Stegostoma tigrinum: one gene and its partners. The protein of the gene in region 4 interacts with the protein of the main gene of each other region in a pairwise test. Links are inferred from orthologs where the notes say so. Each region holds a gene or a part of one and is shown on either strand. Other genes may lie near its edges.

Evidence for each region.
Region 1: the proteins of BTB/POZ domain-containing adapter for CUL3-mediated RhoA degradation protein 2 (region 4) and armc7 interact in binary tests that used the Homo sapiens proteins (3 or more experiments, as listed by UniProt). The link is inferred for Stegostoma tigrinum from reciprocal best matches to the Homo sapiens genes TNFAIP1 and ARMC7.
Region 2: the proteins of BTB/POZ domain-containing adapter for CUL3-mediated RhoA degradation protein 2 (region 4) and zmynd19 interact in binary tests that used the Homo sapiens proteins (3 or more experiments, as listed by UniProt). The two-hybrid records come from large-scale screens. The link is inferred for Stegostoma tigrinum from reciprocal best matches to the Homo sapiens genes TNFAIP1 and ZMYND19.
Region 3: the proteins of BTB/POZ domain-containing adapter for CUL3-mediated RhoA degradation protein 2 (region 4) and exosc5 interact in binary tests that used the Homo sapiens proteins (3 or more experiments, as listed by UniProt). The two-hybrid records come from large-scale screens. The link is inferred for Stegostoma tigrinum from reciprocal best matches to the Homo sapiens genes TNFAIP1 and EXOSC5.

The regions. Positions count from the first base shown.
Region 1 is NC_081370.1:17,570,399-17,577,757, reverse strand, and holds the start of armc7 (armadillo repeat-containing protein 7), read right to left. Parts: upstream 3,015-7,359; 5' UTR 2,908-3,014; intron 1-2,907. UniProt on the Homo sapiens protein: As a component of the minor spliceosome, involved in the splicing of U12-type introns in pre-mRNAs.
Region 2 is NC_081382.1:6,619,596-6,626,991, reverse strand, and holds the start of zmynd19 (zinc finger MYND domain-containing protein 19), read right to left. Parts: upstream 3,291-7,396; 5' UTR 3,211-3,290; coding exon 3,160-3,210; intron 838-3,159; coding exon 778-837; intron 1-777. UniProt on the Homo sapiens protein: May be involved as a regulatory molecule in GPR24/MCH-R1 signaling.
Region 3 is NC_081392.1:8,364,568-8,372,929, reverse strand, and holds the start of exosc5 (exosome complex component RRP46), read right to left. Parts: upstream 3,257-8,362; 5' UTR 3,211-3,256; coding exon 3,114-3,210; intron 1,009-3,113; coding exon 895-1,008; intron 1-894. Other genes in the region: bckdha (2-oxoisovalerate dehydrogenase subunit alpha, mitochondrial), read left to right, coding at 3,559-3,669. UniProt on the Homo sapiens protein: Non-catalytic component of the RNA exosome complex which has 3'->5' exoribonuclease activity and participates in a multitude of cellular RNA processing and degradation events.
Region 4 is NC_081380.1:36,808,486-36,816,562, reverse strand, and holds the start of BTB/POZ domain-containing adapter for CUL3-mediated RhoA degradation protein 2, read left to right. Parts: upstream 1-4,792; 5' UTR 4,793-5,235; intron 5,236-6,094; exon of another isoform or gene 6,095-6,297; intron 6,298-8,077. Other genes in the region: ift20 (intraflagellar transport protein 20 homolog), read right to left, coding at 4,516-4,642. UniProt on the Homo sapiens protein: Substrate-specific adapter of a BCR (BTB-CUL3-RBX1) E3 ubiquitin-protein ligase complex involved in regulation of cytoskeleton structure.

The DNA of each region.
Region 1 (7,359 bases), on a different chromosome or scaffold from region 4:
CTTACTGTCCACTCTGGCCACCAGCCATACACCGTCACCCCTCCCCCAGAAGTCTTTTTACACGGTTTGCTCTCAGGAGAGCTGACCTGTTTTCTGCTAAAAATACCAACCACCATCTATACCTTTTTTTAAAAACTTCCAAAGCAGTCCCTTTGTCCTTTACTCCAGGCACACCCACCATCTGTTCCACTTGCTCCCCCTCCCCATTATCAGCAGCATAAAGGCCGTATATTCCAGCAATTATCAGTTCCAAAGAGGCCTTAGTGTCAAAATATTAAATCTGTATGTCTTTCTACAGATGGTCCCAGACCTGCTGCTTTTCAGCACTTTCTGGCTTTATTTCAGATTTACAACATCCTAATGCTTTGCTTTTATTTGCACAGGAAATTGCCCAGCTCCAACCCTAACCTCACCATCAAACCTTCAGATAAGGGAGACTTTACATAGCCAAAGCCTGGCGCCAACTTTCTGACACTTCCTCTTACTGCCTCCTCGATCATAACCCCACCCCTGACCACCAAACCATCATCTCTAAAACCATTCATAACCTCATCACCTCAGGTGACCTCCCACCTATAGCCACCAACCTCATCATTCCCCAACCCCACACTGCCCATTTCCATCTCCTTCCCAAAATTCACAAACCTGACTGCCCAACTGCCTGCTCCTGCTACAGCCTCACTTATCTCTACTTACTGTCATGATTGTCTCCCCCCCCCAGTTAGGGAACTTCCCAGCTATGCCCTAGATACCATCCATGCCTTCCACCTCCTCCAAGACTTCATTTTCACTATGGACATCCAATCCCTGCACACTTGTAACCCCACACAGATGGTCTAAAAGCCCTCTGATTCTTCCCCTCCCACAGGTCCAACCAATCCCCCTCCGCAAACACCCTCATTCACTTAACTGAATTCATCCTTACCCTTAACAACTTCTCCTTTAATTCCTCCCACTTACTACAGACAAAAAGTGTGGCCATGGGCACGTGCAGGGGCCCAAGCTACGCCTGTCTCTTCATAGGAGATGTAGAACAGCCCCTCTTCTGCTGTTACACTGGCACTGTCACCCACCTCTTCCTCCACTCTATTGAAGACTGTATTGGCGCTGCCTCAGGTTTCCAAGAGGAGCTTGAACAGTTCAACTTTACTACCACCTTTCACCCCAACCTCAAATTCACCTAGACCATCTCCAATACCTCCCTCTCTTTCCTGGGCACCTCTATCTCCATCTCTGGTGACTGCCTCGAAAATAACATCTTTTTCAAGCTCGCCAACTTCCACAGCTACATGAACTACAACTCCTCTTACCCACCTTCCTGCAAGAGAGTGTGATCCCAATTCCTCCACCTCCACTCCCGTTCCCAAGACAGGCCATTCCACTCCCGCATATCCCAGATGTCCTCCTATTTCAAGGACCATAACATTCCCCACCCCTCTTCCAGTGATCGAAAATGACCTCAACTGCCTGTCTTGTGTTTCCTGCACTTCTGCCCTCACATTCCCTTCCCGCAACAAAAATAAAGACAGAATCCCCACTGTCCTCATATCACCCTACTAGCCTCCACATCCAACATATCATTATCCACCACTTCCGCCACCTACAATCCAACCCCAAAACCAAAGAGATTTTTCTCTCTCCACCCCTACCTGCCTTTCATAGGGACCACCCCCTCTGCAACACCCTCATTCACTCCCCACTAACCCCACCAACTTTCTCTGCAACCGCAGGAAGTGCTACACATGCCCCTACACCTCACCTCCAATTCCAGGCACATAACAAACCTTCCACATCAGATAGGGGTTCACCTGAACATCAGTCAGCTTAGTCTACTGATGCTAAGCTGCTCCCAATGTGGTTTTCTTTACATTGGTGAAACCAGGCGTACTCAAAGACCATTTCCATCAAGCATCTATGCTTTGTACACAAGCAATGACAACACCTTCTGATCACAAACCATTTTAACTCCCACTCCCTGGGTGACATGTCCATCCTAGGCCTCCTCCAGTGTCTCAAATGACACCACCCACAAACTGGAGCAGCAGCACCTTATATGCCACCTTGGGAGCCTACATCCCAATGGTCTGAACATGGAATTCACCAGTTTTAAAATCTCCCCACCCCCAGCATCATCCCATACCCAACCCTCTCTCCCTCAAACACAACCCATCCATCTTCTCTCTCACCTATTGTCCCTCCCACCTCACCGAACAATCCCCACCGCTCCCTACCTGTTATCACTTTCCACAACCCATCCCTCATCTCTATTTATTTCAGAGCTCCCTTCCCCAAGACGATCTGGACCTGAAATGTCAACTTTTCTACTCCTCTGATGCTTTCTGACCTGCTGTGTTCCTCCAGCTATACACTTTGTTATCTCTGACTCCAGCATTTGCAGTTCTTGCTATCTCTTAATGTTTGAACTTGAAATGTTTGAGTTGGTATAGAACCTACCATACAGGAAAATGTTCCTAGATAGTGAACTATTTCATGAGTAAATAAGAAAACAATTTGTAGAGCTGGATGAACACAGCAGGCCAAGCAGCATCAGAGGGGCAGGAAGGCTGACATTTTCAAGGCCCGAAATGTCAGCCTTCCGGCTCCTCTGATGCTACTTGGCCTGCTGTGTTCATCCAGCTCTACAAATTGTTACCTCAGATTCTCTAGCATCAACAGTTCCTACTATCTCTGAATCTATTTCATGACTAAATCCGGTTTGATTGAAATCCTGGTACTAGATATCTAACTAATTACTTGAAACAACACTAATCTTCTCGGAAACGTTAGCAAAGCAGTCAAATTGTGAATGGCGTAAATCAACTTCTCAATAATATAAAATTCACGGAACCAGTGTAACGAAAAAAAACCGCATCAACACACAAGAACATAATAAATAAAGGACACAACCTGATCAACTCAAAATCCCCATCGACGGAAGTTGTAAAAAAACGTAACCGTACTTTTACGAGATTCGTCGCTGATCATGCGCATATGACCCACAACACCACTTCGTCTTCCCGGCAGCGCCGACGGGCGGCGAGGATGCATTTCCATTTAAAAGGCCATTTCAATCGTTTCCTTTTTTTATTCAGCGCCTTTCATGACACAGGACATCTCACGTGATTTTGAAGTGTTTCACACAGCAATCAGTTTGAGCACAACATGTTCCAGAACCAATCATGCGATAATGAACAGACAATTAATATCTCTAATGATTAAGGGACACCTCTCTGAAATGGTGAAATGAGATCTTTTAGGGGCATCTGAGAGAGCAGACACGATCTTGGTTTTAAAATCAGAACAGTACTGAAAGTACAGCAAACCTCAGCATTATACTGGAGGATCGGCGTAAATTTTAGACCCAGAATGGCAGCCCTGTGACATAGAGGAGAGTGACTGTCAAGTCACGACTGACAACTACACGATACTTTCAAAAAGCATGCTGGTATATTGCAAAGTTACAGAAGCCAGTACAGACCGATGTATGGCACATCTATCATGTAATTTAACACACGATCTTAGTACTTTGCAAATCAGTCTGAGTCAAATGTTTCATAACTATGTGCGTGAAACGTTTGAATGGGTACTGTTCATGCGGAGGTCATGAACTTGTTTTGGCTGGTTACCTCCTGACTTCCTGTTCTCTTCTGAAAGTGTTCACTATTGTTTGTGTTTGAGTACAGTACATTCATCCATTAGTAAATTATCAAAATAAAATAAAACGTTTACGTTGGCTGTCTAATTCGCCTGCAACGCAAGAATTAGTGTTTAGACTTCCATGATCTATAATCCATGTTATTGATTCAACATGTGTTGGCTGCCTGTAGTCTTTCCAAGTCTGCTGACAAGCTAGATAGGAAATTAAGTTGTCATGAAGATGTATTCAAAATCACTGCAACCATCAAACTGGAGTGATCTTCATTCTCTTCACACATGACAGATGTGCCATATATTGCTCTGTATTAGGTTGTGTTGCTTTGCAATCCACCACCATGATCAGGAATGCCATTGAACTGGTATCTGGGCAAGACCATTCTCTCTGATGAAGGGTCTAGGCCCGAAACATCAGCTTTTGTGCTCCTGACTTGCTGCTTGGCCTGCTGTGATCATCCAGCTTCACACTTTGTTATCTTGGATTTTCCAGCATCTGCAGTTCCGATTATCTCTGAAGACCATTCATACTTGCCTTTCAAATATAAGTTATGTTAAGGATCATAACCCTTTCTCCATTGATGTTGGGTGAAATTGCAGTAACGCTAAGCAAAAATCTTGCCTTACTGCTTGAGCATGGATAATGGGATAATGAAATGATATGGGTCACTCTCTACATAGCACATGTGGTTATGAAGGTCCTTCTACTGCGAGGGTTGATATGTTTGGCATGCCTCACATCTGTTCCCAAGTCACTGAATATCCCAATTAATCTCCAGCAAGTACACAGATTCACATACTTACAATTTTGTGTGTTCAATACTCATGTGTCTCCAGTTAACAAAGTCTTCATATTTTGGTGTAATACTTTTGCTATTAGGACAAGTTTGTTTTTGATGATTTATGATACAGCAAGTGAGCATCTATTTGGCCAAAACGAACAAGTCTTCTCAGGCATTTCATCAATATTGTTAGACCATCCTTGGATAATTTATTTTGCAACTCTCATAGCTGCTCAGCTTTGGCAGTTATCCACTACAATTGTTCACACAGGCTTTCATCAAAGTGTAGCAGATCAATCTTGAGAATCTTGAGAATCATCAACTTCATTGTTTAGAGCATCAATCCATAGATCAGTCAGAATATCTTGGTCTTCGTGGGGGTTGGCAAATCTTCCCAGCATGTTGGATGTAATCAGCCTGATATCTGGCTTATACTTCATTTCAATGCCATATCTTTGAAGATCATTGACTAATTTGACTGCACTGTGAGTGGTTTGGTTTGATAGAGTGGGTGTGGTTTGAATCTCAAAGTATTATACTGAGATATGTTAATACAGGTAGTCATCTTACAATGTAATAGTTGCATTCTTGTGTAACCTCAAGCTGCAGAAAATCACGCTATAGAAAATTGCCAGAGAAAATCGTGTTATACGGAAATCACTATACCTATACTGCAGAAAGTTTGCATTATCCAAACAGTGTCCACCATTCATCAATCGCGTTACAGCCAATTTGCGTCAATGAAAGACACGTTATAGCAGAATTACTTGCCACTGCTGGACCACTGGCATCTACCAGGTAGAAGATTTTGGGAAGCCAAGATGAGTTTGCATATTAGCACTACACTGTGATTCCTCCAATGCATGGAACTGGTGGTCCATGGAATTACATATATTGTGGTGTTATAGAGGTGAGGTCATCGCCTCTCTGATAATTAAAACTGAAAAACCCAGAGAAGCTTCCCTCACCTCATAAACACTTAAAGGAAGTGTGAAAAGTGGTACAGCCTGCCTTTCACTACCAATCTGTTATAAAGGAACGGTTAAATGAAAGAAATCCCTGATACTCACTTTATAAGCAACAAGAGATAATTTATTCATCTAACTCCAGCAGTGAATAAATTAACAGAACTACTAGCAAACCAAACAATCCCCCTCTTAACTGCTAACTAATCCCAAATAAAACAAAATTCAGATGCTATTATAACAAGGTGTAGAGCTGGATGAACAAAGCAGGCCAAGCAGCATCAGAGGAGCAGGAAGGTTGACATTTCAGGCCTAGACCCTTCAAATGCTATGCTGTTCCAATAAATACAAGTCCCACTTATATAAAGCAAAGTAATAAAAAAACTTAGCGCCTCGAAATTACAGCCAGAATAAGTCTTCTAGAATGTTCTTTGCCTTCACTGCTGTTTTCCATTTAGGAATGTCTTTCTCAGTTAAATTCTTGAATTCTTATCTCAGGAATATCAGCTAAGAGTGCTGTCGTACCTTTGTTTAGATGCTGCTTACTCTGAGAGCTTAGAGGTTTCTGTGAGACTCTGATTTTCTCTTCAGATGGTTATTCACTCCCATACCAATTTTCAAATACTCTCTTCTTTTATACCCTTGATGACCTTTTAATTTCTTCCAATAGGATTGGTCCTATGTTGTCAAAACTATCAGTTTTAGATTTAATTGGGTTTTGTATCTAGGGCCTCATTTAAATTAATTGGCTAAATTCAAAAACCGTTTGTCTTGGCAAAAATGCTGCTTTGCCTGCTAACAGTCTAGCCTTTTGATACATTGTTTCAATTTCAAGTACTCTCCGTTCATCAGCAGCTGCCTGCTGACATTTTTGTTTAATCTCCAATCTAAACAACACATCATCTTTTAAAGGAAACATACACCTTTCTCCCCTATCATTTTATTAACAGCAAAAACGCTATTCAACTTTGCAACATTGGTATGTTTTTCAGGATATGTAATGGTTGTAAGTTGACCCTGGCTCCCATTTCAATTTTAATCTTTAGTGTGTGTTGTCCTACCTTTTCAGGCCGTACAGTATAAATGGTTGTAAAAGTTTCTGATCATCTAAGATTGTTAACATGGTGTATGAGGTTAACAATATGGAAAGCTTGGCATTTTCTGAAATTTGCCTTTGGTGCAGTTGACTCTGAACCTCAACAATCATTCACATTTGTGTATATTAACACTTTCCTTGTTGCCAGTGTAACAATGTTACATCGTGTTGTTGGTCAACTGTACTTTGTTTAGGGTTATGTCTTGGCCTTTGTAACTGTATTTCATGCATGTAAATATCCAGTGACCCTTGGTATCTGAAATAACTTCATACAGGCCAGTATCCCATCACCAAGTCACACTTTATTTACAAGTGGAGAGTCCTTGACACTGATCCAGCTCCCTGAACAGAACTTCTGACGCTGCTGTTTATATCAAATGTTTTACAGGTGTCCAAAGTTGTTCCTTAAGTGTGAGCTGCTGGCTATAGCAATTGCGCTAGTCACTCCAATGCATGTAATTGTTGTTGGCCTGTCACTATGGTTTCATACTTGGATCCATCCTCAAGTAGTGCATCAGTACATGGCCCTTTGACTTGCCCAAAAGATACTTTCTAATGATTTTAATTGGGGTAGAAGTGACAACAAACTCAATATAACTGTCAGTTTTTCTTCAGAAAGTCACATTCACACCTGTTGCTGAAGCACTTCTGTCCAACTGGTCAATACACTCTTGGTTGCCTTCTGTGTGATGTAAGTTGGAGTCTAATAATTCTGAAGTTAGTTCTTACCTGGAGTTGGTCTTTGGAAATTTCCAGAATTTTTCTGGATCTTTCTGACTGTCCATTGAATTATTGAAATATTAATCCTGGAAAGCCCATAATTGACAATAACAAGCAGGATCTCTTAAGCTCTTTTCTTAGGATA
Region 2 (7,396 bases), on a different chromosome or scaffold from region 4:
CCCATCGAAACCTTCCATCTTTGTACAAAATCCTTTCAACAATGATAGGGACAGTGATGTAGTGGAAACTGAACTAGTAAATCGAAGGCCTGGCTTAATGTGGTAGAGATGAGGGTTCAAATCCCATCATACTGACTTCAAATGATTGGCAACATATCTGGAACAAAACTCGCTTTAGTAGTGATGACCATGAAACAATCGATCATTGTAGAAACCAATAATAGCAGATCTGATGTATATATGACTCGAAATCTAAGGTAATGGACTGACTCTTAACTGTCTCTGAAAATGGCCTCCCAGTTCTAATACAATTGGAGATGAGCAAGAAATGCTGGCCTCAGCGGCAACCCACATATCCCATGAAAGAATAAAAGTTCCATTCACATAGCACTTCCAATATAATAAGACATTCTAAGGATGGTTCTCAGGAGTATCCTGAAGCAAATTTGCACATTACAATGTGGGAAAACCATCTCAAGTCACACCATTTGCCCAGTCTCGTGCAAGCAGACTCTGTCTGGTAACCACATTATATCATTCATTCATGGCCTACAGTCCTGGTGATAACTGGTCACAACAAACCAGCTCATTTCCTAGCAAACAGTTCATATCCTAGCACCATGTCTAATATTAGACATAACTGCAACAAGTTCTATTTTGTGCAGCACCTTTAAGGCAGTTTACAAAGAAGTGTGACAACTGAAAAGATGCTCAACCAGGAGGCCCTTAAAATGAGTGTTAAATTAATTTCAGAAGTCTGTCTGTATGCTCTCTTACCTCAAAGGTATAATTCTCCACCAGTGGGATGTCTTGCTCATCTATTAGTGTGTACTTAGTCTGAAAACAGAAATAGATTTCTTGTTAATCTCTTTTTAAGAAAGATCAGTGTGGACTGTAGAAGCAGCAACTTAACGATAAAACCTGAGAGCACAACTGGGGAGACAGATAACAGCCAGTCTGCAGTATAATGGTTACTAGCAGACACAAGGTCAAACTCCCAATTGCTGAAACGGGAACATCACAAAAGCAACCAGGGAATGAGCACACACTTGCAAGATTAGAATTAGTGCAAAACATACCATCAAACTCCAATCTACCTCCAGTGTAAGTGGGTCAAAACAATGGAAACTGAATCATAATGCTAAGCAGCTGACATTAGGCAATGGTTGCTGTGACAAATGCATCCCAGCATCTTCATACTGTCACACACCCCTGCCCTCCAATGCCCCTCTCACCCCCACTGTTACTGATTGTTACCCAAGAACTCCCACAATGTAACTCAGTAACTGCTATCAGAAGGATTACAAAACCGAATGTCATTGCAATTTCCTCCAGAATTCTCAAGGGGAAATAAGTCCCAACTCATTTCAAAAACCTGATGTTCAGGAACATATCAAGTAGCCATATTTGGAACAGAATAATGGAAGGCTATTTAGCTCCAAGAAGCGAGACAAGGGGGGCACATTTGTGATTCATAAGCACCTTGCCTGAAATGAAAAGATAATGGTTATTGGTTACTCTCTGATGAGGTATTCTCAGGCGAAAATTAACCAGCTTGAATTCTAAGCATCAACCAGTTAAGAAACACCTCCTTGCTTTGTAAATAGTACTATTTATTAAAGTCCTTTCTATTTGAACCATCATAGTACAGCAGTGGGGGACCCCGGCCTTGTGGAAAAGCACATATACAGACATGCTCATGCCTAGCTGGCAATTCTTTCCTGGTCTTTCTGCCAAACGCTTGATTGTTTTTGTGTCTCTAGAATCTTATTCCAGGATTCTCCCACCACATTTCAGACAGGTTGGCACCCATTATGGAGTTGCAATTTACCTTCACATCTCTGCAGGGAGGAAAGCCCTCAACCTGGATACAAATCAGGCAGTATAACTGCAGCCTCTAGATCACTTCTGGTCATTTGATTCTACTATAAAATGTAACTTTGGGTTCTTTCTAAGATCACTAAACTCTGAGGAATATCTACAGGCAGCACCAGCAACCAGACCTCCCAAAGCACTTTTCACAGTTCTCCTGTGCTCATTCTGTTAAGGACTGAGACTGTTCTCCCATTTAAAATATACATTATGTGGCAACATCAAGTACTTGCACATTAGTTGTGAGACAGTCAACAGCAGTGTATTGCTCTCCACCATTGTGTCTCAATAGCATATCTCCAACCTAGAAGCAGACAATGTTGAATCTATCACACCAAAATTTTTAAAAAAGGCAACTTGATGCACTGGGAATCACTAGGCACAAGGAATTACATTTTGCAAGCAGGTGAAGGTTGGTGCACCTAAACTGAGACAGAGAACTGCTGTCATGCAGAGAAGATAAACTTTACAACCTAACGATCTGGAGATTTGATAAATCCTTGCAGAGGTTCATCAAGGCTGTGCTGTGCAAGGATACACAGGATTCTAAAGACCAAATAAAAAAAGGTTCACTAACTCAGACCTCATCATCGCAAACGAATGAGATCTGGAAGCGGCTCAAGTTACCTGGTTCGTCAATTGATGGCTACCTAAAGCTGAGTAGTTCCTCATGCCACAGAGTCAACAAGTCGCGCTGCAAAGCCTGTATCAATGTTGAGTTACTGTAATTTTCATTTACTTTTAAAAGAGGGATAAGTTCTTTCGGCCTTGCGAAGCGGCAGTTTTACGTGCCGCTCAGGCATCGCTTTGAAAGAGGATTCCCTGTCCAGGCCATTCCTCACTGATCCAAGTGTAAGGCAGGGAGTTGGGCTCTCCCCCAGCCAGCGGGAGCGCAACGCGGACACCAGGGCAAGCCACACGTGCCTCGCCAAGCCCCGATACCAGGCTGAGGCCAGGCCGTAGCAGACTGAGCACATGGCAACGGCACAGGGACACCGCGCCCCCATTAGCCGCTTCAGGTCAACCCGGGGCAGCGAGCAGGGGGAAGGAATTCGGGAGGCACGCCACCCCCAAGAGTTCGTATCGCCGTCGGGGAAGAGAGTGCAGGCCCGCACCCCGGCCGCTGGCCACATGGCCCCCAACGAGCGGCGAGCGGCCAGCAGGCCTCGGTCTCGCCCCACCCCCTCCCAAGTCTCGGCAGCTGCGAGCCGGCTCGGGAGCGGCACACCGCCGACCGTTCCCAGCTCCCACATTGTCTCTTCCCCTTCCCCGCTACCCGACTGTCACCTTGCCCGCCGCCCGGCCGAGCCGCACGATCCCCAGCTTGAAGTCGGACATGGCACCCCCTCCCGCCTCAGCTCTCCGCTCCGCTCCGACACGCGTCCGGACACCGGCCCCGCGCCTCCGCGCAAACGCTTCCGGAGGGCGCCGCGGGGTCAGCGGTGGCGCCGCGGCCAATGGGAGGCCGCCTGGCGCCGTCACGCGGGGCAACCGTTACCAAGGTGACGTCAGTTTCGCGGGAAGCTGCCCAAGGGGCGGGGCCCATCGCTCTCCGCGGGCGCCCTGTCCATCACAGAGCCCAGGGAACCACAGAACAGAGAGAGAGAGAGAGACCATCTCATTTTGGAGCAGGATTGGGCCATTCATCCCATCGAGTTTGCACCGCCATTTCATAGAATCCCTACAGTGTAGTAGCAGGCCCACCGACCCAGCCCTCCCCTACCCTATCCCTGTCACTGTCACCCCACATTTCTCATGGCTAACACACCTAGCCTATACATCGCCAGACACCATGGGCCATTTAGCACGGCCGATCCACCCAACTTGCACTTCTTTGACCATGGGAGGAAACCGTGGCGCTTGGCAGAAACCCGCACAGACACGGGGAGAATGTGCAAACTAATCAAACCTGTGTCCTTGCTGCTGTGCGCCACCATGCTATCCATCATAGCTGTTACGTTTCTCAACTCCATTCTTTTGCCTTCTCCCCTTAACCCTTGATCCATCTATCCCTGTCTTAAAGGCACTCAATGACTCGGCTCCCTCAACCCTCTGAGGCAATGATTTCCTCCACCGATTCACCACGGTAAGGCTGAAGAAATTCCCCTTCATCTCAGTTCCAAAGAGTCATCACCCTTTCCCTCTGAGGCTGCGCCATTGAGTCCTAGTCTCTTCTACTAGTAGCAACATCTTCACCATATCCGCCTGATCCAGGTCTCTCAGTATTCTGTAAATTTCAATCAGATCCCTCCATTCCTTCTAAACTCCATCGAGTACAGACTCATAGTCTTCAACTGCTCCCCATTTGACAAGATCTTCATTCCCAGGATTATTCTTATGAACATCCTCTGGATTTACTCCAATGCCAACTCATCCTTCCTTAGATATGGGGCCCAAAGCTGCATATTTCAAATACAAGTCCTTCAGCCTCCCCGCTTCCTCGACACCACCTGTCCCTCCCCCTTTCATGTGTCATCTGCAAACTTAGCAACAATGCCTTCAGTTCCTTCTGAGAGTCAGAGTGAGGGGCAGGCGGGGGTGGGGTGGGCATAGAGATCCAGTGTACAGGGGGGAATAGGTAGTCAGAATGCAGAGTGTTGGGAGTGGGGGACCAGTGAGTTAGAGTACCGCAGTGTCAGGGGTTAGAGGAGTGAGAGATCCAGAGTATAGCAGGGGAGAGGAGCAGAGAGACCAAAGACAGAGTTAACATTTCAAGTCCTGTGACCATTTTTCGTAATTCAACCAAGCTGTCTATTTGAGTCTGTATCTGCCCATCTGACACTCACCTCATTCCCCTCCATTCCAAACACATCAAGTAAACATGACAGATTTGGTAGTACACTACTGTTGATGACCGCCTCGCAACACGACCCTTGCTGTATCATCTCTCCATGTCTATGTATTGAGGTACCCTCTTAGTTGTATCATCCCCTCGCATCCCAGCATTCTGCATCCAATTCTGATTGAGTTACCTACCCACCTATCAATAGCACTGGCTGCCCAATTACCTCAGCCTGATCTTTAACAGATGAACCTCTCCAAACTGACCATGGCCCCCCCGTTGCGTGATTTAGCCAGATAGCCATGTTGCTCTGTACTCTACTGGCTCAATGTGCAGCTGTGAGATAGGCATAGCAATGTTCCGTAAAGCAAGATATCCACACCTTGTATGATCTGCTGACAAATTCTGTCTGAGAGAGAAAATCACAAAATGGCAAGACTAAAACAACAACTACATGGACCAGGGATGCATCTCAGGCCAGTCCATGTGCCTGTCCCTACACACATTGTAACAATGGAGCAGCATTGTAATGAGACGTACCAGAATTGTAATGAAAGTGAATCAGAAATATGCGATGATGTTGCGGAGCGCTGGTACATTGTCAGATGCCACCGTGCACGGACACAGGCTGCGTGAAGTCCCTTGGTCTGTGCCCAGAGGCATTGGTGTCAGTGTCCGAGATGGAGTGGTGGTGGGGCTTACCAGTGAGAGAAACATATTGCCACCAGTCAGGAGTCTGTACTTCTCATCATGGTTAACTTGCTCAGACAGGAGAAATGTTAATTTCACTTTATAGCCCATACAGATATTCATTTTAGGTACATTACTCATTAATTCAGTAATTATTTATAAATTAATAATAACACAAAAGGAGAAAATCTCCCTATTGCAGATGTCTTATTTTAGACATGTGGGCAGAACGCAGGAATAAGAGATAGGCCTCCCAATAGCCAGTTGGAGACAGAGGAACAGGTATATTGGCAGATCATGGAAAGATATGAAAACAGTTATTGTGATGCGTGATTTCCACTTCCTCAGTATTGACTGGGACTCCTTTGGTACTGTGGCAGAATTTATTAGCTGTGTCCAAGAGGCTTCTTGAAACAATATATAGATAATCAAACTAGCGAAACGGCCATTCTTAACCTTGTATTGTTGTGGAGATGCCCGTGTTGAACAGGGGTGGCCAAAGGCAAACATGACATGACACCAGGTTAAAGTCTAACAGGTTTATTTGAAATCTCAAGCTTTCAGAGCATAACCCCTTCATCAGGTGCAGTGAGAGGAGAGCACACAGGCACAGAGTTTAAAGGCAGAGAGATAAAGGGCAAAGAGACCAAAGGATTGTATGGTCATACAACTGGTGTGTGTGAACAAACCTAAAATGGCTGACTGCCTGCCTCCTGTTGAATCTTTCATCATTTTCATACATTCCTGCATTCTAGAAATTGCAGAAGCAGGGTATGGAGAACTCTGTTAGAAAGGGGGCGCAAGTTTCGACTGATTAAGATGCACAATCCAGAATCTGTTTCAAGTCACTGCCCTGCGATAATTAAAGCTTTCATCAATGTTTGCCTAACTTCCCACACTTCAAACAGGCAGAGCAATAGGAATATATAAAAGGTGACATCTCAGGTCAGACACTGAATTGTAGGTGTGAGGCCTTGTTCAGAATTTATCTCAGAGTTTTAATCTGGAGACAGGCTGGTTTTATTTCCAAAAGCAAGAATGTATAAAGTGCCACGCTGACTGACTGCTACAAATTGTGTGTTTCTTGAATAAAATAGAATGTAAACAAACATGTTGGATGAAATGATTCACCCCATAGTTTTTTATGTGTGTGTGAGAGAGAGACAGAGAGAGTGAATGTGTGTACGTGTGTGCTTGAATGTGAGTGTGAGAGTATTATGTGTGTGAGAGAGTGTGTTTGTGTGAGAGAGTGTATGTGTGCATATGTGTGTATTTGTATGCGAAAGAATATAATAAGTAAACCAAAACTGTGCAAACTAATTAAGGTAGAGAGATCATAAGAACGTTTCAAGGTGATGCTATCAAAACAGGACAGTGAGGAAGATTTGACAGATACAGAACAGTGTGGTAGGAACACCTGTAGCGCGACATGAACGCAACTTCACGGTTGAGGCTGTCTTCATGGGTACAGAACTTAGCTATGATTCTCTGCTCAGTGATTCTGTGTTGTTGTGTATGTTGAAGTCCGTCTTCGAGGACACCTACCCGAAGACCGGAGGCTGAAGGACCTTGACCGCTGCAGAGTTCGTCCACAGGGAGGGAGCATTCCTGTCTGGAGACTGTTGTGAAGTGCCCATTCATCCGGTGTCATTGCGTCTGCATGGTCTCGCTGATGTACCAAGCCTCGAGCATGCTCGCCTGCAGGGTATGAGGTAGGCAACATTGGCTGAGTCACATGAATATCTGCTGTGCATGTGGTGGGTGGTGTTCCCACGTGTGATGGTAGTGTCCATGTCGATGTTCTGACGTGCCTTGCAGAGGTTGCTGTGACAGGGTAGTGTAGTGTCATGGTCGATGTTGTCTTGAACTAGTTTGCTGCGAATGGTGATCAGTTGAAGGTTTGGTGGTTGTTTGAAGGGAAGATGTGGAGGTGTAGGGAAGATCTTGGTGAGATGCTCATCGTCATCTATGACGTGTGAAAGGCTGCAAGGAACATGGCACCTTCCTGCTGCTCCGGGGAAGTACTGGACGACGAGGGGTACTCTATCAGTT
Region 3 (8,362 bases), on a different chromosome or scaffold from region 4:
GAGGGGATAGGTCAGTCCGTGGAGGATGGACCGGTCAAGGGGGCAGGATGAGGTTAGTAGGTAGGAAAGAGAGGTGTGGCTTGAGGTGGGAGGAGGGGATAGGTGAGAGGAAGAACAGGTTAGGGAGGTGGGGACGAACTGGGCTGTTTTTGTGATGCAGTGGGGGAAGGGGAGATTTTGAAGCTGGGCTGCAGGGTTCCCACGTGGAATATGAGTTGCTGTTCCTGCAACCTACGGGTGGCATCATTATGGCACTGCAGGAGACCCAGGATGGACATGTCATCTGAGGAATGAGAGGGGGGAATTAAAATGATTCGCGATTGGGAGGTGCAGTTGTTTATTGCGAACCGAGCATAGGTGTTCTGCAAAGCAGTCCCCAAGTCTCCGCGTGGTTTCCCCAATATAGAGGAAGCCAAGCCGAATTCAGCAGATGCAGTATACCACACTGGCAGATGTGCAGGTGAACATCTGCTTGATGTGGAAAGTCATCTTGGGGCCTGGGGGAGAGTGGGAGGTGGTGTGGGACCAAGTGTAACATTTCCTGCGATTGCAGGGGAAAGTGCCGGGTGTGGTGGGATTGGAGGTGAGTGCGGAGCGGACAAGGGAGTCGCAGAGAGAGTGGTCTCTCCGGAAGGCAGACAAGGGTGGGGATGGAAAAAATGTCTTTAGTGGTGGGTTCGGATTGTAGATGGCGGAAGTCTTGGAGGATGATGTGTTGTATCCGGAGGTTGGTGGGGTGGTATGTGAGGACTAGGGGGATTCTCTTTTGGCGGTTATTGCGGGGGCAGGGTGTGAGGGATGAGTTGCAGGAAATGCGGGAGACACAGTCAAGGGCGTTCTCGACCACCGCGGTGTGGGGAGTTGCGGTCCTTGAAGAACGAGGTCATCACTTACTTGGCAATCCAACTTTTGGCTTTAGGAGGACATCTAGCGTGGCCTTGTCGAAGATCTCTTTGCTGACTTTTACTTCTGCTGGTCCATACACTGCAGCCAGGACTGTCGTGTCCCCTTAAGTTTACAAAGAAAGCATCCAAAAGGTTGTAAACATAGGTTGGCATTGCTTAGTGGGAGCATTGCAACAAAGGGTTAATGTGACTTTATAGACACAGTTGCTCCTTCACAAGTAAGAAAATTAGCAGAATTTTTAATTAGAAAAAAGCTAGTTCCACATCACTGAGGCATTTACAAGATTTAAAATGGACTGATGTTTAAATAGCTGAACACCTTTCATGACCAAATGGCACCATAAAGCACTTTAGTTACTTTTGATGTGCAGCAACTGTTATGACCTATTGACCAGGGAGACTTTGAGGGAGTTTGACATGGGTGGATGCCAAGAGGATCTTTCTATTCCTGGGAGAACGGAGAACAAAGATCTCTCATTTAAGATGGAGATGAGGATGAATTTCTTTTTCAGAATTCTCTCCCCAGAGAGCAGTCACAGCTGGGTCACTGAATACATTGAAGTTGGAGTTAGGCAGATGTTTGTTTGACAATGGACTCAAAGCTTAAGGGAGATGAGCAGGAAAAATGGAGGTTATGCCCACCAGATTAGTCATGGCCTTATTGACTGGCAGAGCAGGGGTTCATGAACTGAATGGCTTGCTCCTGCTCCTAAATTTTATGTTAAAACATGGACAGTGATAAATTGTGCAAAGCTCCCACAAACAGCAATGTAATAACAAATAGATTGTCCAATTGACATAAATTGTGCACAAGATAGTAGGCAAAATGTTCTTCAATCATAGGTTCTGCTTTAGTTGTGTTGGCATCTCAGTCTAATCTATTTCACCAACATTTCTATGGGTAGTGTTATTGAAATCAAGGATGACCTTCCAAGTTGGCCACCCTGATTATGAAAATTTATCAATGAGAATAATCAAAAGTTGGGTCTTGAAGATTTCAAGTGATGGCAATCCCACCTAATTTGCACACATTTGTTAACAAAGTATAGAGCTAGATGAACACAGCAGGCCAAGCAGCATCTTTGGAGCACAAAAACTGATGTTTCAGGCCTAGACCCTTAGAAACCTGATGAAGGGTCTAGGCCTGAAACGTCAACTTTTGTGCTCCTAAGATGCCACTTGGCCTGCTGTGTTCATCCATCTCTACACTTTGTTATCCCAGATTCTCCAGCATTTGCAGTTCCTACTATCTCTTGCGCATCTTTGTACTGGGGGAGGAAATGGGGCACCCCAAGAAAACTGACACAGACACAGGGAGAATGTGCAAACTCCACACAGACAGTTGCTGGAAGCTGGAATCGAACTTGTATCCCTGGCGCTTTGAAGCGACATGCTAACCACTGAGCCACTGTGCTACACTCAACATGAGATGGTTGGGCCAAATGGACTATGTTCACATTGCCTGCAAGTCACGATGGGCCAAAACTGTAATGATTCTATGATTACATGAGATTAATAAAGGGCAATGGGCACAGCCAAACAGTGATATTGGCTGTGGATAATACAGTGCTGTGGGGAAAGAGAGTCACACAGTAAATATTACCAGTGTATGGAACTGATGCAGAGATATTGAGAGTGTGTGAAACTGTGAGGCTATTTTGAAATTGACACAGGGCCGTGGCGAATGGATAAGAGATGCAAGGAGCAGTGGAGTTAGTTGCGGATCTATACAGAACTTTAGGAGAAATAAATATTCCTATCTAAAAGAAAATATACTGACATTGAACCAGTCCTCAGAAGATCACACAATTGACTCTGGTGTATCAGGGTCGGGGGAGGGGGTTGGTGTGTGAAGATTATCTGACGAGGAGAGGTTGAGTAGGATGGGCTTGAACTCAATGGAGTTTAGCAGAATGAGAAGATAACTTGCTGAAACATCAGAAACGTGGGAGAATGAGAATTGAGTAATTTGAGTGGGAATGCAAGTCTGAGAGTCGGTCAGAAGAGAGACGAATGAATTATAATTTTTCCTTGTTGCTCTAAATGAGCTCCCCATCTGTAATCTCCAGAATCCCAACCCCACACCACCCTCCTCATACCTGCCTTCCCACAGTGAGTGTCCCACATTACAATAAGACTTGGGTAAGCGGGGGGGGGGACAGAGTAGGGTCTGAAAGAGTCTTCCCAAGGTAAAGGGCTAGCACCTACCTTGTGTGAAGCAGGCCGAGCCATCGGGCCTGGACAAGAGACTGTGTTCACTGCCGAAAGGCCGCAGTTGCTGCTGACTCTCAGCACCTACCTCCATCCCAAGCAGCACCGACTGTCAGGCCCCCTCCATTGTTAACTGACGGTGATCTCCACCAATCAGAAACCAGTACATCACAATATTAACCAGTCAAAATCAAGATTGGGTGGGACCTCTAGGCCATGCTCCGCTGGGGGCAGCAGCCCCTCACCAAGGACCCCCATTCTACGGACAACTTACTGTACGCCTTTACACAATAACAGCAAATAAAGCACGTTCCTTTTCAAATTAACCTGCGTGGCTTTTACTGCTGTTCGGTCTCATTGAAGGGGGCCCCGCGCTTGTTGTTGCTCTTCCTCAGAAGGCGGTGATAATGTAGTACAGGCGGCGGCTGGACAGACAGTAAACATGGCGGCGGCTGTCAGGCAGTTGGGAGTAAGATGGAGCGGCTTGTGGAACAGCCGCGTCTCCCGGGCTCAGATCGCCCTCTCCGCGTCTCGGCGTGCCCTATCTACCGGGGTGAGTAATTCCCAGAGCCTGACCAAAGGGTAAAATCACTCTGGGCCGAGGTTCCGGACCACCTCCAGCCGATTGGTCAGGAGAGGGGGTGGGATCCTGGGTCTGGCTAGTCAATGGGTTTTACAACCTAAACATGCAATCGGAGTTTTACTGTGATTCATAACGTAATAGCAGAACTTAACTAGATTTACTGATTGCTTCATTTTAACTGAATAACTGGACGTAAGATTACGAGGCTCACTGATTGCTTCAAAACTTTAAGCTATAAATAATAACTTTCCTGTCTTTCTGCTTCACAATTAATAAATCATAACGGAGACTTTAATCGTCACAATGTCTAAATCATAACTATTGATTCTTTAATGACTTAGAATTCCTAACGTTTTACTGCTGTCTACCTTATTGTGTCATAACCTTACTAGGTGTGCTGCTTGCTTCGTGACTTATCATAAATACTTTTTCATACTTTTTCATTATTCATAACTTACGAATCCGCAACTACTTTCTAAAACAAATTGTTTGTTAATAATCTGGGATGTGAATCCCCCAAATCCTATCATACTGGTTGGGCAATTTTGAATTCAGTTTATTTTCTATATTTATTTATAGTTGTAATGTTATTAATTATAGATGTAATGTAATGGAGAGTGTTACAGGTGAGTGCAGCAATTGTTCAGCCTCCCTCTGCCCTTGACAAGGTATTGGTGAGCTGTCTTATTAAACTGCAGTGTGTGTTGTGTTTGTACATCTGCCGCACTGGTCACTAAGGAAATCCAGAATTTTGCTATAGGTACAGTGAGATATTTTCAAGTCAAGATGGTTTGTGAGTTGAATGGAAACTTGAAGGTGGTCATCTTCCATGCACTGTCAGTTGTTATTCCTCCAAAACTGGAAAAAGTCTGCATTTAAATGTACAAGTTCAGAAATTGCTATCAATGATTCTCTGCTTCTCCATCGGGTACGCTGTTGATTTTCCCAGTTTTGGTACAATTAGAAATCAATTAGTTAGTTTTGCTCTATATAATCCTCAATACAGGTTACATTAAAATGGCAGATGAAAGTGAAAGCAGGTAAGTGTAAAGTGATTCATTTTGAGGAGAATGCAGTGTGGCAATATAAAATGAAGGTTACAGTTTTAAAGGGGAGAATCGGGCTGTGGGGTGGCAGGGGAGTTGCAAAATATATGGGATCTTAGATTTCATAAATGCAGCATAGAGTACAAAGACATGGAAGTTATGAGAGCTGTATAAGTTACTAGTTTGGAGTTTTTCATCCAATTCTCAGCGCCACACTTAAGGCATTTACAGGAATGAGGAAATATAAATTACATTGGAGAAATTGTGTAACATGGACAAGTATGAAGTTGATCACTTTGGCAGAAAAAAATCAGAATCACAGAGTATTGTTTGAAGGGTCATAGATTGGGAACTGGGTGTCTGAAGGGTCTGGGCATCTGTTTTACACTTAAAAAAATGCCCCGAAAGAACAGCAGATGCTGTAAATCAGGAACAAAAACAGAAGATGCTGGAAAAACTCAGCAAGTCTGGCAACATCTGTGAAGAAAAAAATCTGACAGACCTGCTGAGCTTTTCCAGCAACTCCTGTTTTCGATCCTTTTTACACTGTTTTACTGAGCAGTTAGGAAGGAAAATAGTAAGTTAACGTTCATTGCAGGAGTAAGGAAGCCATACTATAACTATACGGGGTTTTGGTTTGACTACATGTGGAATAATGTGCTGTTTTGGTCTCTCTTTACTGAAAAAAATTTGCTGTTGTGGGGAGTACAGTGAAGGTGCACTAATCTGTTTTCTGAAGAAGGACCTAGGCCTGAAGTAAAGATAATAAAATGTGAGGCTGGATGAACACAGCAGGCCAAGCAGCATCTCAGGAGCACAAAAGCTGACGTTTCGGGCCTAGACCCTTCATCAGAGAGGGGGATGGGGGGAGGGAACTGGAATAAATAGGGAGAGAGGGGGAGGCGGACCGAAGATGGAGAGTAAAGAAGATAGGTGGAGAGGGTGTAGGTGGGGAGGTAAGGAGGGGATAGGTCAGTCCAGGGAAGACGGACAGGTCAAGGAGGTGGGATGAGGTTAGTAGGTAGCTGGGGGTGCGGCTTGGGGTGGGAGGAAGGGATGGGTGAGAGGAAGAACCGGTTAGGGAGGCAGAGACAGGTTGGACTGGTTTTGGGATGCAGTGGGTGGGGGGGAAGAGCTGGGCTGGTTGTGTGGTGCAGTGGGGGGAGGGGATGAACTGGGCTGGTTGAGGGATGCAGTGGGGGAAGGGGAGATTTTGAAACTGGTGAAGTCCACATTGATACCATATGGCTGCAGGGTTCCCAGGCGGAATATGAGTTGCTGTTCCTGCAACCTTCGGGTGGCATCATTGTGGCAGTGCAGGAGGCCCATGATGGACATGTCATCAAGAGAATGGGAGGGGGAGTGGAAATGGTTTGCGACTGGGAGGTGCAGTTGTTTGTTGCGAACTGAGCGGAGGTGTTCTGCAAAGCGGTCCCCAAGCCTCCGCTTGGTTTCCCCAATGTAGAGAAAGCCGCACCGGGTACAGTGGATGCAGTATACCACATTGGCAGATGTGCAGGTGAACCTCTGCTTAATGTGGAATGTCATCTTGGGGCCTGGGATGGGGGTGAGGGAGGAGGTGTGGGGACAAGTGTAGCATTTCCTGCGGTTGCAGGGGAAGGTGCCGGGTGTGGTGGGGTTGGAGGGCAGTGTGGAGCGAACAAGGGAGTCACGGAGAGAGTGGTCTCTCCGGAAAGCAGACAGGGGTGGGGATGGAAAAATGTCTTGGGTGGTGGGGTCGGATTGTAAATGGCGGAAGTGTCGGAGGATAATGCGTTGTATCCGGAGGTTGGTAGGGTGGTGTGTGAGAACGAGGGGGACCCTCTTGGGGCGGTTGTGGCGGGGGCGGGGTGTGAGGGATGTGTCGCGGGAAATGCGGGAGACGCGGTCAAGGGCGTTCTCAATCACCGTGGGGGGGAAGTTGCGGTCCTTAAAGAACTTGGACATCTGGGATGTGCGGGAGTGGAATGTCTTATCGTGGGAGCAGATGCGGCGGAGGCGGAGGAATTGGGAATAGGGGATGGAATTTTTGCAGGAGGGTGGGTGGGAGAAGGTGTATTCTAGGTAGCTGTGGGAGTCGGTGGGCTTGTAATGGACATCAGGTACAAGCTGATTGCCTGAGATGGAGACTGAGAGGTCCAGGAAGGTGAGGGATGTGCTGGAGATGGCCCAGGTGAACTGAAGGTTGGGGTGGAAGGTGTTGGTGAAGTGGATGAACTGTTCGAGCTCCTCTGGGGAGCAAGAGGCGGCGCCGATACAGTCATCAATGTACCGGAGGAAGAGGTGGGGTTTGGGGCCTGTGTAGGTGCGGAAGATGGACTGTTCCACGTAACCTACAAAGAGGCAGGCATAGCTGGGGCCCATGCGGGTGCCCATGGCCACCCCCTTAGTCTGTAGGAAGTGGGAGGAGTCAAAAGAGAAGTTGTTGAGTGTGAGGACGAGTTCCGCTAGGCGGATGAGAGTGTCGGTGGAGGGGGCCTGGTCGGGCCTGCGGGACAGGAAGAAGCGGAGGGCCTTGAGGCCATCTCCATGCGGAATGCAGGTGTACAGGGACTGGACGTCCATGGTGAATATGAGGTGTTGGGGGCCAGGGAATTGGAAGTCCTGGAGGAGGTGGAGGGCGTGGGTGGTGTCACGGACATAGGTGGGGAGTTCCTGGACCAAAGGGGAGAAAATGGAGTCCAGATAGGTGGAGATGAGTTCGGTGGGGCAGGAGCAGGCTGAGACGATGGGTCGACCAGGGCAGGCAGGTTTGTGGATTTTGGGAAGGAGATAGAAACGGGCCGTGCGGGGTTGGGGAACAATGAGGTTGGAGGCTGTGGGTGGGAGGTCCCCTGAGGTGATGAGGTCATGAATGGTGTTGGAGATGATGGTTTGGTGCTCGGGTGTGGGGTCATGATCGAGGAGGCGGTAGGAGGTGGTGTCGGAGAGTTGGCGTCTGGCCTCGGCGATGTAGAGGTCAGTACGCCATACTACCACTGCGCCACCCTTGTCTGCGGGTTTGATGGTGAGGTTGGGGTTGGAGCGGAGGGAGCGGAGGGCTGCCCGTTCTGCGGGGGAGAGGTTGGAGTGGGTGAGAGGGGTGGAGAGGTTGAGGCGGTTAATGTCTCGACGGCAGTTGGAGATGAAGAGGTCGAGGGAGGGTAGGAGGCCTGGGGGTGGTGTCCAGGAGGAGGACTTGTGTTGGAAGCGGGTGAAGGGGTCAGTGGAAGGAGGGTTGGGTTCCCGGTTGAAGAAGTAGGCATGCAGGCGAAGACGGCGGAAAAACTGCTCTATGTCCGACCGTGACTGGTATTCGTTGATGTGTGGTTGTAGGGGGACAAAGGTGAGCCCCTTGCTCAGGACTGACCGTTCGTCCTCAGTCAGTGGGAGGTCTTCTCCCTAACCGGTTCTTCCTCTCACCCATCCCTTCCTCCCACCCCAAGCCGCACCCCCAGCTACCTACTAACCTCATCCCACCTCCTTGACCTGTCCGTCTTCCCTGGACTGACCTATCCCCTCCCTACCTCCCCACCTACACCCTCTCCACCTATCTTCTTTACTCTCCATCTTCGGTCCGCCTCCCCCTCTCTCCCTATTTATTCCAGTTCCCTCCCCCCATCCCCCTCTCTGATGAA
Region 4 (8,077 bases):
CTGTTTATATGCAGATTAAAATCAAGCATGATTATTGATATCCTTTTATTACAAGCACCTAAATTTTATTTTTGTACACTGCGTTTTAGTGTGGTTATTGTTAGGAGTCGTCTACAAGCCCCCTATTAACTATTTCCCACCCACCAAACTATTCTTCATATCCACCCAAATTAATTCTACATCCTAACTTGCTGAATGTAGGTCATCTCTAACCATTGCTAATCTGCTATCCTTGTTTAAAATGCTATCTTCTCCATATTTACCTAGCCTCGTATTCTTCTTGAATGTAATATAGCCCACAATATTCAGGACAAAATGATGGTTTATATGTCATATTTATAAATTTCAGTGTGTGCTATCAATTTCTTTTTGATACAAATGCTACATACAAGATAAAGATGGAGGTATCAACCTGATGAAACCACCAACAGGACTACTTGCACACCAGACAGTGAAAGCAGCAAGTGATAGACAGAGCAAAGTGATCCCACAACCAATCGATCAGATCTAAGCTCTGCAGTCGTCCCACATCCAGTCATGAATGGTGCTGGACAATTAAACAACTCATTGGAGGAGGCGGCTCCACAAATTTCCGTATCCTCAATGATGGAAGAGCCGAGCACATCAGTGCAAAAGATAAGGAGCAAAAGAACCATTTGTAGCCATCTTCAGCCAGAAATGCTGAGTGGATGATCCATCTTGGCCTCCTCCAGTGATCCCCAGCATTACAAATATCAGTCTTCAACCAATTCAGTTCACGCCATGTGATATCAAGAAACGGTTACAGACACTGGATACTGCAAAGCCTATGGGCCCTGACGACATTCCAGCAATAGTACTGAAGACCTGTGGCTCCAGAACTTGCCGCTCCCCTAGCCAAGCTGTTCCAATACAGTTACAACACTGATATCTAGCCAACAATGTGGAAAATTGCCCAAGTACGTTCTGCACACAAAACGCAGGACAATTCCAACCTGGCCAGTTACCACCCCATTAGTCTACTCTCATTCACCAGTAAAGTGATGGAAGGTGTCATCAACAGTGCTATCAAGCAGCACCTGCTCAGAAATAACCTGCTCAGTGACACTCAGTTTGAGTTCTGCCGGGGCTACTCAGCTACTGACCTCTTTGCAGCCTTGGTTCAAACATGGACAAAAGAGCTGAATTCCAGAGGTGAGGTGAGAGTGACAGCCCCTGATATCAAGGCTGCATTTGACCAAGTGTGGCATCAAGGAGCTGTAGCGAAACTGGAATCAATGGGTATCAGGGGGCAAACTCTCCAGTGGTTAGAGTCATACCTGACACATAGGAAGATGGTCATGGTTGTTGGAGGTCAATTATCTTAGCTCCAGTACATCTCTGTAGGAGTTACCCAGGGTAATGTCCTCGGTCCAATCATCTTCAGCTGCTTCAATGACTTTCCCTCTATCATAATGTCAGAAATGGGGATGTTCACTAATGATTGCGCAATGTTCAGCACCATTCATGACTTCTCAGATACTGAAGCAGCTCAAATGCAACAAGATCCAGGCATTATCCAGGCTTGGGATGACAAGTGGCAAGTGACATTTGTGCCACACAAATGCCACACTATGACCATCACCAATAAGTGACAATCTTACCACCATCCTTTGATATTCAATGGTGTTACCGTCACTGAATCCCCCACTAGTCAACATCCTGGGGGTTATCAGTGACCGGAAACTCAACTGGACTAACCACATAAACATAGTGGCTACAAGAACAGGCCAGAAGCTAGGAATACTGCAGCAAGTAACTCACTTCCCGATTCCTCAAAACCTGTCCACCATCTACAAGGCACAACTCATGATTGTGATGGAATACTCCCCACTTGCCTGGATGAATGCAACCCCAACAACACTCAAGATGCTTGACACCATCCAGGACAAAGCAGCCTGCTTGACCGCACTACATCCACAAGCATCCACTCCCTCCACCACTGATGCTCAGTAGCAACAGCGTGTACAATCTACAAGATGAACTACATAAATTTATCAAAGATCCTCAGACAGCAACTTCCAAACCCACGACCACTTCCATCTAGAAGAACAAAGTCATCAGACATATGGGAACACCACCACCTCCAAGCCACTCAACATCCTGACTTAGAAAAATATTGCCATTTCTTCACCGTCACTGGGTCAAAATCCTGAAATTACCTCCCTAATAGCATTGTGAATCAACCCATAGCAAGAGGACTGTAGCAGTTCAAGAAGGTAGCTCACCACCACCTTCTCAAAGGAAATTAGGGATGGGCAAGAAATGCTGGCCAGTCAGCGATACCCACATCCCATCAGGGGCGGCACAGTGGTTAGCACTGCTACCTCAGTGCCTGGGAGCTGGGTTCAATTCCACCCTTGGGCAACTGTCTGTGTGGAATTTGCACATTCTTCCCGTGTCTGTGTGGGTTTCCTCTGGGTGCTCCGATTTCCTGCCACAGTCCAAAGATGTGCACGTTAGGTGGTTTGGCCATGCTAGATCACCATAGTGTTCAGGGATGTGTAGCTTAGGTGGATTATAGGGGGATGGGTCTGGGTGGGATGCTCCAAGGTTCGGTTTGGACTTGTTGGGCTGAAGGGCCTGTTTCCACACTGTAGGGATACTACGAAATGAATAGAGAAACAAAATACAATTAGATAGAACCTTTAGTTCTGACTTTTTATAGAACTTTGTAACATCTGTTGAGCCAAACGAATTTCACGAAGATACAAGCAGGCTGTACAGGGTTGATGGGCTATGAGCTTGGAGGCTGGGTGTGTGTGGAATCCCCAGATAAGATGAGATTAATAACCATTGTACAGTTAATAATTCAGCCTGATGTTTCCTGGTGGCACTGTAACCCACGGAAAATAGTTAGTGGTGTCTGGGAGATGGCATTCAGCCTCCACAATATATCAGTCAATAGACCAGACAACAGAAGCACCACCCTTATCAGCAGGAACAATTACAAAGTCAGGGTTGGGTCAAAGAGCGTGCAGTGCAGTCTGTTCAGAGGGATATAGGTTTGACTGGATGGGGGATTGAAGTAAAGGCAGCCAATGTCAGGCAAAAGCTCTCCCAAACAGGTCAAGTGCAAATTGGTAAAAGGCCATAGGAAGGGGTCCAAGTGGAGGCAGCGTATTGGAGGCAGGCCAAGAGATGTCTATTGGTCAGGGAGAGGACTCTTGTCCAAATGAATGGGCATGGAGGCAAAGAGAACAGCAGAAGAATTTAATGTCATGTTGTGCTATTGAAGTAGGGGCACAAAGGGGTAAAACGAAGTCCTTTCCTGAACACAGAACATTCAGAGAACAGAAGGTCAGAATGAATAGTAAATATCTGACAAGAGCTGGGATCAGGAGAAGGCAGCATCTCAGGAGCACAAAAGCTGACGTTTCGGGCCTAGAACCATCAGAGGGTTCTGCAGAACACCTCCGCTCGGTTCGCAATAAACAACTGCACCTCCCAGTCGCAAGCCATTTCCACTCCCCCTCCCATTCTTTAGATGACATGTCCATCCTGGGCCTACTGCAGTGCCACAATGATGCCACCCGAAGGTTGCAGGAACAGCAACTCATATTCCGCTTGGGAACCCTGCAGCCCAATGATATCAATGTGGACTTCACCAGCTTCAAAATCTCCCCCTTTCCCTCTGCATTCCAAAACCAGTCCAGCTCGTCCCCTCCCCCCCACTGCATCCCAAAACCAGCCCAGCTCATCCCCGCCTCCCTAACGCGTTCATCCTCTCACCTATCCGCTCCTCCCACCTCAAGCCGCACCTCCATTTCCCACCTACTAACCTCATCCTGCCTCCTTGACCTGTCCGTCCTCCCCGGGCTATCCCCACCTATCTTCTCCTCTATCCATCTTCGGTCCGCCTCCCCCTCTCCGATGAAGGCTGTAGGCCCGAAACGTCAGCTTTTGTGCTCCTGAGATGTTGCTTGGCCTGCTGTGTTCATCCAGCTTCACACTTTATTATCTTGGATTCTCCAGGATCTGCAGTTCCCATTATCTCTGATCGGGTGAAAGGCCTAATTTAAGTTAAGAGATAACAAGGCGTAGAGCTGGATGAACACAGCAGCCAAATAGCAGAGGAGCAGGAAGACTGACGTGGGCTTAGGTTAATGTAATACAAAAGGGTGCACTGTGAGAGATGTCATCTTTCAAATGAGTGTTTAAACTGATGCTCTGTTGGCCCTCTCAGTTCCAAACAAAAGATCCCATGGCATCATTTCGAAGGGCAAAGCTCTCAGTAATCCTTTCCGACGGTTACCTCTCAACCAACAATTTGCCAATCTGTGGGATCTTGCTATGTACAAAGCATTTTCCATGTTCCCCAGATAACTGCAGCTCCTAAACAAAGAAGTACTAAATTGGCCACCGAAAAATAAGTTTCGAAAAGTTCCGGACTGGTGAGAGGCTTTGTATAATGTACATGTTCTGTCTATCCTAGTTTTCTTTACCATCCTCCCGCAACCCCTCCATACCGTGACAGATATCCTGCTCCGCACCTACTTTCTATAAAGTCCTTGCACTCCTCCTTCAATTCTGTTGTACTTTGCGCCACCTCAGGGTCCAGGACCCTGAGTTTGTTGAGTTCGTCGAAGTGCAGGCCGGCCTCCCCGAGGGACTCCATCGCCATCAGAATCAACAATACCCTCTCGTCCCCTCTGCCGCTGCCACGGCGACAGCGACGGCTCTCTCCGCCCTGCTGCGCATGCGCGGTCACAGGGGGCGGGGCACCCACGGATGTCGCGCGTGCTCAGTATCAAAACTCACTCAGTCTCTCAAGGTAGTGTGGGTTTCTGCAACATTATTTTTGATCTTTCTTACCAGACAGATTCTGGAGAGCTGAAGAACTTTAGTTTGCCGTTTGTCCAGAGTATTGTATACAGAAGGATTTAAAAAGAAATCTCACTGCAACACAAAATAACGGTTGAAGCTAGCGAATCTTCGCTCTTTGTTGTTTTAAATGATCATTTATCGGCGAGCTCCAACCATCGGTGAGATGGCCTGGGCGACTGGACGGCACTTTAACTGAGCCATGAAAGTGCAATCCAGCGGCGGGAAATATATCTGCGCGCGTGCGCACTAAATCGGGAGCCGGCGTGTGGCTAGCGCGCGTGCGCAGTTAGACGAGTACGGACGGGATCGAAGTCACGTGTGAATGCCCTTGCGCCGGAAGAGAAGGAGGAGCGGAGGCGGTTTGAATGGTCGGCACGGCAACTGCTGCAGGTACTGGGCCTACTTCGGGGGTGGGGAGGGTTTTAACGAACGAATAAACAAACTCGCTTTGGACAGTGTTGTCAGAACAAAGTTCAGCAAAGCGGACTGAGCGATTGTCGATAAAGAGATGTCAGTGACCGCCTCAATGGAAGCGAGTTTAGGCTCCTCATGGCAGCTGGAAGAAGTGATCGTAGAGGATGGAACTCCCTCAAACTCGCCCCAAATCTGAGAGCTCTAAGTGAATTGTTTAAGCAGGCTAGGCCATTGGTTTAGGTTGAAGCTGGATATTTCCTAGGTTGCATCGGTTTCATCGAGTTTTCCCCTTTACCTCACCAATACTTTCTAAAAGACCACACTGTATTCGACAACAGAAATTTCTTCTCATGTTGGAAAGACCGAAGGAGCCTTCAGCTTTTGTTGCTTTCAGCCCCTTGGGTATCCATTCCACTCCTCTCCTCAGTAATTGTCTGACATTGAATCTGATCGTTTAAAACCTTTGTTTTGAAGCGAGTTTAGGCTCCTCATGGCAGCTGGAAGAAGTGATCGTAGAGGGTGGAACTCCCTCAAACTCGCCCCAAATTTGAGAGCTCTAAGTGAATTGTTTAAGCAGGCTATGCCATTGGTTTAGGTTGAAGCTGGATATTTCCTAGGTTGCATCGGTTTCATCGAGTTTTCCCCTTTACCTCACCAATACTTTCTAAAAGACCACACTGTATTCGACAACAGAAATTTCTTCTCATGTTGGAAAGACCGAAGGAGCCTTCAGCTTTTGTTGCTTTCAGCCCCTTGGGTATCCATTCCACTCCTCTCCTCAGTAATTGTCTGACATTGAATCTGATCGTTTAAAATCTTTGTATTGAATTTGACTTCAATATGAGTCCCAAACAAAGACTGCCTGTTTCCACCCCTGACTGTGGTTCAGCTCATCTGCTGAAACAAATGCATGTGTTTGCTACCTTTAGACACAGCTATTCCAATGTGTTTCAGCTTCTCGTGATTTACCCTTCAATACATGTATGTGCATCAATCCCCTTCAGTATCAACTCTGCTGACTTATCAACATTGGATCCAGTTAAGTAATACTTACATTTTGAAGTTTTCATCTTTGGTTTCAGATTTTGCCACAGCCTTGTCCCTCCTTATCTGATTTTGTTCTTATTTATTTAGTTTTATTTTATTTATTTTTGTCACATACCGAAACTGAAGAGAAGGTGCAGAGAATGATGAGCTCTAATATATGAGAGGTCCATTCATAAGTCGGATAACAGAAGGGAAGACCCTGTTCTTAAATTAGTTGTTACATGTTTTGAAACTTTTACATCTTCTGTTGATGGAAGAGGTGGGAGGGGTCTTAGATTATGTTGGCAGCTTTTCTGAGGCAGTGGGAATTCTAGAGCGAGTCAATGGAAGGAAAGCTGTTTTATGTGATGGTCTGGGGTCCGTTCACAACTGTGCAATTTCTTGTGGTCTTGGAAAGAGCCATACCAAGCTGTAATATGTAATATAGGATGCTTTCTATGGTGTATCTATAAAAATTGGTAAGAGCCATTGTGGACATGCTGAATTTCATTAACCTTCTGAGGAAGTAGAGGCATTAGAGTGCTTTCTTGACTATAGCATAGATATGAATGGATCAGGACAAGTTGATGATATTTACTTCTAGGATCTTGAAGTTCTCAACCATCTCCATCTCAGCACCATTGATACAGTCAGGGGCGTGTCCTCCACTCTGCTTCCTGAAGTCGATGGCCAGCTGTTTTATTTTGCTGACACAGAGAGAGATTGTTGTCTTTACACCATGCCACTAAACTCTCTATCTCTTTCCTGTGATAATAAGGTGTAGAGCTAGATGAACACAGCAGGCCAAGCAGCATCATCGGAGCAGGAAAGCTGACGTTTCGGGCCTAGACCCTTCAAATTCAGTTTAAGCTTAAATTTGTGAAGTACAAAAGAAACGGTAGTCAGCAGGAGAAGTGAAGCTAGGTTTTTTTTGGGCTTGGAAATGAGTATGTAACGGTTCAGATAAGGCACAGTTGATAAGTGAGAAAAGCATATTTAATGTCCATGCTAACATTGTTTGGCTCAAGATCTGCAGGTTATTCAAATGTAATGAAGCCTAAATTCTCAAAATTGCAAATATTCAGATAATAAAATGACGGTGAGCTGCAAAGAACTAGGTCGGCCCGAAATGTCAGCTTTCCTGCTCCTATGATGCTGCTTGGCCTGCTGTGTTCATCCAGCTGTATACCTTGTTATCTCAGATTCTCCAGCATCTGCAGTTCCTGCTATCTCTATCTCTTTACTGTACTCTGTCTTGTTTTTGTTTGAAATCTGACTGACATTGGTGGTGTCAACATGTAAATGGAGTTAGAGCTGAATTTGGCCACACAGTTGTGTGTGCGTAAGGCGTTTAATAAGAGGCTAAGCCTTGCAGAACAGTGGTGTTGAGTATTATCATCAAGGTCTTGACACCCATCTTCACTGATTGCAGGTCAGGAAGTCAAAGAACCAGTTGCAGTCAAGCGAGCAGAGTCCTAGGTCTCGGAGTTTAGAGATGAGTTTGGTTAAAATTATGGCGTTCAAGGTGGAGTTGAGGCCAATAAATAGTAAGTGTCCTTGTTATCTACATGTTTCAAGGATAAGTGTAGGAACACAAAAACGGCACCTGCAATGAACCTGATGCCACGTGCAATCTCCTCCAGCTTCTCCGACTCCCTGGATGCCTGTAATCTTCAAACTCTGGTCTCTCGGGTTTAGTTCCTCTATTGTTGGTGACTATATCTTACCCAGTCCAAGCCTCATTCCCTCCCTAAAGATTTCTGTTGTGTTATTTGTCTTTCTTCTTTTACTA